2 linked regions of the Pelodiscus sinensis genome follow. The protein of the gene in region 1 purifies or fractionates together with the protein of each later gene. This does not show direct contact. Links are inferred from orthologs where the notes say so. Each region holds a gene or a part of one and is shown in the gene's direction. Other genes may lie near its edges.

Evidence for each region.
Region 2: the proteins of COPS3 (region 1) and BTBD2 purify together in Homo sapiens (affinity purification with mass spectrometry; 3 studies listed by BioGRID and IntAct, counting the BioPlex papers as one, with this or other methods). This does not show direct contact. The link is inferred for Pelodiscus sinensis from reciprocal best matches to the Homo sapiens genes COPS3 and BTBD2.

What each region holds. Positions count from the first base shown.
Region 1 is NC_134726.1:33,863,288-33,867,033, forward strand, and holds the start of COPS3 (COP9 signalosome complex subunit 3), read left to right. Parts: upstream 1-931; 5' UTR 932-1,188; coding exon 1,189-1,243; intron 1,244-3,746. UniProt on the Homo sapiens protein: Component of the COP9 signalosome complex (CSN), a complex involved in various cellular and developmental processes.
Region 2 is NC_134729.1:27,667,788-27,671,533, forward strand, and holds the start of BTBD2 (BTB/POZ domain-containing protein 2), read left to right. Parts: upstream 1-1,190; coding exon 1,191-1,540; intron 1,541-3,746.

The sequences.
Region 1 (3,746 bases):
GTTGGGGGGTATCAGTGTTGGGGGTGACGTGGCTACGGGGGGGTATCAGTGTTGGGGGGTATCAGTGTTGGGGTGACGTGGCTACGGGGGGGTATCAGTGTTGGGGGGTATCAGTGTTGGGGGTGACGTGGCTGTGGGGGGGTATCAGTGTAGGGGGGTATCAGTGTTGGGGGTGACGTGGCTACGGGGGGGTATCAGTGTTGGGGGGTATCAGTGTTGGGGGTGACGTGGCTACGGGGGGGTATCAGTGTTGGGGGTATCAGTGTTGGGGGGTGACGTGGCTACGGGGGCTATCAGTGTAGGGGGGTATCAGTGTTGGGGGTGACGTGGCTGTGGGGGGAGATGGTGGGGGTATCAGTGTTGGGGGGTATCAGTGTTGGGGGTGACGTGGCTACGGGGGGGTATCAGTGTTGGGGGGTATCAGTGTTGGGGGGTGACGTGGCTACGGGGGGTATCAGTGTAGGGGGGTATCAGTGTTGGGGGGTGACGTGGCTGCGGGGGTATCAGTGTTGGGGGGTATCAGTGTTGGGGGTGACGTGGCTGTGGGGGGGTATCAGTGTAGGGGGGTATCAGTGTTGGGGGTGACGTGGCTGTGGGGGGGTATCAGTGTTGGGGGGTATCAGTGTTGGGGGTGACGTGGCTACGGGGGGTATCAGTGTAGGGGGGTATCAGTGTTGGGGGTGACGTGGCTGTGGGGGGGTATCAGTGTAGGGGGGTATCAGTGCTGGGGGGTGACGTGACTGCGGGGGGGGGGGGGCTGAGGTGAGGGCGGGGCCGGTGCCAGGCGCTGCAGGCTCGAGGCTGACCGGGCCGCTGTGAGGTCACGCGGCGCTCTATGGAAGGCGATGGCGAGGCGCGATCGCGTCACTGGCCGCGCCCCCTGGCTGTTGCTGAGTCACGGATTCGGCTGTAAAATGGCCCTTTACTACAGGCCGTGACGCCGGGCGGGAGCAGGCCGTTCCCATGGTAACCCTCAGGGGGCGTTTGTTCCGCGGGACGTTGCTCTCGCGATGTGACATGGAGGAAGTGACGTTAGCCGCTGGGTCTCGCGGTTCCCGAAGCGACCGCTGATTGGCTGGATTCTGGCGGCGTCGCTGCGGAGCCTCCTTCCCGCTTCCCCCCCCGCCGCTCTCGGCCCGGGCCGCCTGCCCGCCCCGGAGAGACGCGGCCGCGCCGAGAGCCGCCAAGATGGCGTCCGCCCTGGAGCAGTTCGTCAACAGCGTCCGGCAGCTCTCAGCCCAAGGTGACCGGGGCGGGGCGGGGCGGGGCGCTGCTCACGCGGGAGGGGGGCAGCGAAAGGCCGGGCTGGGGCGCGCGGGGCTGCGGGCGGCGCCTCGTGGCCCCGCCCCGGGGGCGCAGGTCACCCTCGGCGGGTGCGTGTGACAAGATCGGGCGGGCCTGGGGGATCCCCCCCCCGGGTCTGTCGCTTGGCCCCGCCAGCGGGGGCCGCCCTGCCCCGGCCGTGGCGTGTCCCGCGCTCTCCCGACAGCCCGGGGCTGCAGCCGCCGCCTGCTCTGCTCAGGCCTCACCAGGGCAGCGGTGCTGACATCCGCAGGAGGCGCCCGCCCGCCTCTCTCCCTCCCTTCCACTCGTGAGGGGCAGTCTCCGAAAGATGCACCGCTGCCCCGGGGCTGGGACGGGCGTGCGGGGGTGCTGCTGCACCTCCTGCCTAGGCGTGATCTCCGTTGTATGGAGCGCTTGCAGTTTGGCTCCGTGACTCTCAGCACCCCAGAATAGTGATAGAGATGCAGCCGTGTGAGTCTGGTCTTGCTGAAACTAGAGACAGGACGATGCAGCACTTGAAAGACTAACAAGATGGTTTATTAGGTGATGAGCTTTCGTGGGCCAGACCCACTTCCTCAGATCAAATTGTGGAAGAAAATAGTCACAGCCATATATAAAGTGCTACATAGTCCTGTATTTTGTTTCACTCCATAATAGAAATTCGTCAGGCACCACTGCACTCTTGTTACCTTGTTAAACCACGAGCTGTGGGCTAGCTGGAAGATTTACACCACCTCTTTTCTCCATCTCTTAATCCTGGGGGAATTCTGCTTTAGTTGCGTTTGGAGCCCCAGAGCTAATTGTGATGCAGGAGGTTGTATTTGGTGATCATAAATTCTTAAAACTTAGGAATTTTTTAGACAGCTGAGAACTGGAAGCATATGTCCCCTCTCATATTCATTTGGACTAAGAAGTGGTATTTGATGGGGTCTGGTGTGGCACCATTGCTACTTCCCACTGTTTTTAATCCCCTGGCTGCTCATTCTTTTTGGCATCTGTTCCTTATTAGAGGGCCTGCACATAAATAAGAAAGCAATGCCAAAGTCTTTGGACGCAAATCCGAACCTGTCTTACGCTACAGTGGAAACCTAATCTTGGTACAAATCTGCACTTAAAATGCTGCATCGGTGCATCTGCAATACTTTCATTAAGGTTCTCTTAAGCTGCCAGGAGAGAGCTCGCCTGTTGGCATAGTTAATAGTATGTTGGTGGGAGATGCGCTCCTGCTGAGAGTGCTGTCTACACAGGGGATTAGATTGGTGTTGCTATGTCATTCAGGGGCTTGATTTTTTTCCTTTTATTCTGATACAGGTCTGTAGTGTAGACAAGACCTTAGTTTTGCAAATTAGGAAAGCCTAAATCTGGAGTTAAGGGTAATCACTGTTCTGTAACACAAGTGTATTGATTGAGGGTAGCGTGTCATTTTGAAATGTTATTTTATTGAAGAGCTGGAACATAAAATGTTGAGAGTACCAATGTTTCCTCTAAGTTTTTCCTTCCATGTTCAGAATAAACTTTGTGATGTGCACCACTAGTAGAATCATGCTGTGGTCAGCAGTGGGTGCTCTGCCAATCATCTGGGTGGCACCTGAATCTCTCCTGGGCTGCTGCCCAAGCACTCAGCTTACAGGGAACACTGTAGAGTACCCATTTTTTCCTTAATTGGCTTCTGGAGTTCTAGACTAGCTGATTTATGGACTTCTCTATCCCCACCATTGGGTTCTGTGATTTATCTAGGGAAGCATGAGATACAAGTTGCTAGGATTACATATTGAAGCTTTATTAACTTATTAAAAGGCCTTTTGCACACTAAGCCTTGTCAAACCCCAATTTTCTGCTGTACTTGCACTGAAACTCTATTTATGATGTGTGCAAGTTCCTGAACTTTACTTGCATGTTTATTTCATATCTAAGCTAGAAATGCTACAGCAGCAGAGATGTAGCTTAGACATTTGCTGCTGGGACAGGAGGAGTTCATCCACCTCTTTGAGAGGGAGGTGGTAGCTAGGCTGATGTAAGAATTCTTCTGTCAACCACGCAGTGTCTACTAATGCTGGAGTTTAAGGCAACTTAATTACCTCTCATAGGGCATGGTATTTTTCACAGCCCTGAGTTTAGTTAAGCTGACCTGACTTTCTAGCATAGAGCAGCCTTTTTTTTCCTCTGTGGGATATTCACGTCCTTGAAACAGATAAAGGATTGATGTTACCTCAGAAAAATTAAGCCCACCTTTGATCTCTTTAAAGACTGAGTTATGTTTGGGGAAGAGAGCCTCAAACTTTCTTTTGATATTTATTTTAACTGTCAGTTATACTGTATCAAATTGAACTTGTTTAAGAATTAGGTCATGTATATAGCTTGATGGCTGATACTGATGGAGCAGATGGATTTTAATAACTTTTCTGTATTACAATCAGTTTTCATTAACTGGTCTATTTAATAGTTGCACAGTATTATATAAC
Region 2 (3,746 bases), on another chromosome or scaffold:
CCCTCCTCATGCCCTGCACCCCCACATACCCCACCCTCCTCATGCCCTGCACCCCCACGCACCCCACCCTCCATCTCCCACCCTCCTCATGCCCTGCACCCCCACGCACCCCACCCTCCATCTCCCCACCCTCCTCATGCCCTGCACCCCCACGCACCCCACCCTCCTCATGCCCTGCACCCCCACGCACCCCACCCTCCATCTCCCACCCTCCTCATGCCCTGCACCCCCACGCACCCCACCCTCCATCTCCCCACCCTCTTCATGCCCTGCACCCCCACGCACCCCACCCTCCATCTCCCCACCCTCCTCATGCCCTGCACCCCCACATACCCCACCCTCCTCATGCCCTGCACCCCCACGCACCCCACCCTCCATCTCCCACCCTCCTCATGCCCTGCACCCCCACGCACCCCACCCTCCATCTCCCCACCCTCTTCATGCCCTGCACCCCCACGCACCCCACCCTCCATCTCCCACCCTCCTCATGCCCTGCACCCCCACATACCCCACCCTCCTCATGCCCTGCACCCCCACGCACCCCACCCTCCTCATGCCCTGCACCCCCACACACCCCACCCTCCATCTCCCACCCTCCTCATGCCCTGCACCCCCCACGCACCCCACCCTCCATCTCCCACCCTCCTCATGCCCTGCACCCCCACGCACCCCACCCTCCATCTCCCACCCTCCTCATGTCCTGCACCCCCACGCACCCCACCCTCCATCTCCCACCCTCCTCATGCCCTTCACCCCCACGCACCCCACCCTCCATCTCCCACCCTCCTCATGTCCTGCACCCCCCACGCACCCCACCCTCCATCTCCCACCCTCCTCATGCCCTTCACCCCCACGCACCCCACCCTCCATCTCCCACCCTCCTCATGTCCTGCACCCCCACGCACCCCACCCTCCATCTCCCACCCTCCTCATGCCCTTCACCCCCACGCACCCCACCCTCCATCTCCCACCCTCCTCATGGCCACCACTGCCCCCCCGGCCTCATCCCTGCCATACCCCCCCACCCCTACCTGCCCCCCAACGCCCCCACGCCCCGCCCCCTGCGCGCGCCGCCGCGCCCGAGCCCCATGCGCCGCTGCTGCCCGGCCTTGTGCCTCAGCCGCCGCAGCGCCCCCGCCCCGCGCCCGCCGCCGCGCCGCCCTGCCCCGCCCGCGCCTCCTGCGCACAAGATGGCGGCCGGCGGGAGCGGCGGGGGCCCCGGGGGCCTCTCCTCCTCCGGCCCGCAGCCGCCGCCCCCCCCGGGCAACGGCGCCGCCTGCGCCGCCCCCGCGCCCGCCCCCGCCCCCGCCGCGCCGCCGGGCCTCACCTACAACCAGTGCGGGGCCGGCAACCCCGCGGCGGCGGCCGGGGCGGCGGGGCCCGGGGGCGGGGCGCTGCCGCGCGAGCCCGTGTACAACTGGCAGGCCACCAAGCCCACGGTGCAGGAGCGATTCGCCTTCCTCTTCAACAACGAGGTGCTCAGCGACGTGCACTTCCTGGTGGGCAAGGGCCGCGGCTCGCAGCGCATCCCGGCCCACAGGTGGGCGAGGGCCGGGGGGGCGGGGAGCATCCCCCTCAGGGGCGCGGGGGGGGACCATCCCCCTCAGGGGCGCGGGGGGGGCATCCCCCTCAGGGGGGCGAGGGCCGGGGGGGCGGGGAGCATCCCCCTCGGGGGGGCGCGGGGGGGGACCATCCCCCTCAGGGGCGCGGGGGGGCATCCCCCTCGGGGGGCGGGGGGGCATCCCCCTCGGGGGGGCGGGGGCCGGGGGGGCGGGGAGCATCCCCCTCAGGGGCGCGGGGGGGCATCCCCCTCGGGGGGGCGGGGGCCGGGGGGGCGGGGAGCATCCCCCTCAGGGGCGCGGGGGAGGCATCCCCCTCAGGTGGGTGAGGGCCGGGGGGGCAGTCCCCTCAGGGGGCCGGGGACGCGGGGGGGCATCCCCCTCAGGAGCGTGGGGGGGCAGCATCCCCCTCAGGTGGGCGAGGGCCGGGGGGGCATCCTCCTCAGGGGCGGGGGGGAGTATCCCCCTCAGGTGGGCGGGGGGCGGGGAGGGAAGCATCCCCCCTCAGGTGGGCAAGGGCCGGCAGGGCGGGGAGGGAAGCATCCCCCCTCAGGTGAGCAACGGGGGGGTGTAGGGACTAGGGGGGCGTGGGGCCCCAGGGGGAGAGGGGAGCATCCCCCCTCATGTGAGCAATGGGGGGGTAGCGACTAGGGGGGTGCCAGGGTGTGGGCTCTTGGGCTGCCTGGGGGAGCGGATGTAGGGCCCAGGGAATGCAGTGGAGCGAACAAGGAGGGGTTTAGGGCCCGGGAGGGGGGCTATCAGGAGGCCCACGGGAGGGGGGGTAGGGGAGCATCCCAGCCCTCAGGTGAGCAGTGGGACTGGGGTGTGTGTGTGTATGTGGGAGGGGACCAAGGGACGGTGCCAAGGAGGGGGTGTAGGGGAGCATCCCAGCCCACTTGTGGGTAGCCTGAGAGGAAGGAGGCAAAAAGCATACAAGGGGGGGTTGCAGTGGGCCACCCCAGTGTACAAGTAGGGACCACTGAGGTGGGGTGGAGCAGGCATCCCATGCTGGCCCCCACATGGGGCTTGCTGCTCCTCTCGCTGTCCGGGACACCGGTTGAGGTGAGCCATAGGCTGAGCCTCAACCTCCGCCCCTCCGTGGGCTCTGCATAGCAGGGGGCTGCGCTGGTGCTCCCTGCAGCTAGATACCTGGCCCCAGCCTGGACGCAGGTATGGTGAGGCAGGAGAGGGCCGCCCTTCCTTCTGCCATGCCTCTGGGCGGTGTGGTCACCTGCCTGCCCCCCTAGGTCTTCCACACGCCAGGCCTCACCAACACATCCCAGGGTTTGGGCCTCCTGCCTTGAGAGGGCCCAGAGCTGCTTTCCAGGCCTGTGATGGCTGGAGTGGAGGGAGCAGGATGCACTAAGGTGTCAGATCAGCCTGGGAATGCAGGCCCCCAAGTTGTCTCTGTGTGGGGTCTGTGTGGCATGGTGTTAGTGGGGCTCTGCCCTTTAAAGGGGTGCTTGGAATGGCTGCAAAGCAGTTGTGGGTTGGAGAAGCCATAGCCCACTGAGCACACAATCTTGTGTCTCCCTATTGGCACTTCAGGAGCAGAAAGCTGAGTGTAGTGACTCAGGCTTTAGCTGAGGAATCAAGATCTGTAGCTGGGGCTGTTACCCTTTGTTGACTGGGCATTGAACAGGAGTCTGTTCAGTGAGTTACAGACTCATGATGGAACAGCGGTGACAGAAAAGGTAACAAAATGTTTTTAAGTACATCAGAAGCAGGAAGCCTGCTAAACAACCAGTGGGGCTCCTGGACGATCGAGATACAAAAGGAGCACTTAAAGATGTCCTTGAGGAGAAACTAAATGAATTCTTTGCTTCAGTCTTCACTGGTGAGGATGTTAGGGAGATTCCCAAACCTGACCTGTCGGTGACAAGGACTTGTCACAGATTGAAGTGTCTTAGAGGAGATTTTGGAATTAACTGATAAACTTAATAGTAACAAGTCACCAGGACCAGATGGCATTCACCCAGGAGTTCTGAAAGAACTCACCTGTGAAATTGTGGAACTATTAACTATGGCTTGTAACCTATCCTTTAAATCATCGTCCGTACCCAATGACTGGAAGATAGCCAATGTAATGCTAATATTTAAAAAGGGCTCTAGAGGCGATCCCGGCAATTACAGACCGGTAAGTGTAACATCAGTACCGGGCAAATTAGTTGAAACAATAATAAAGAA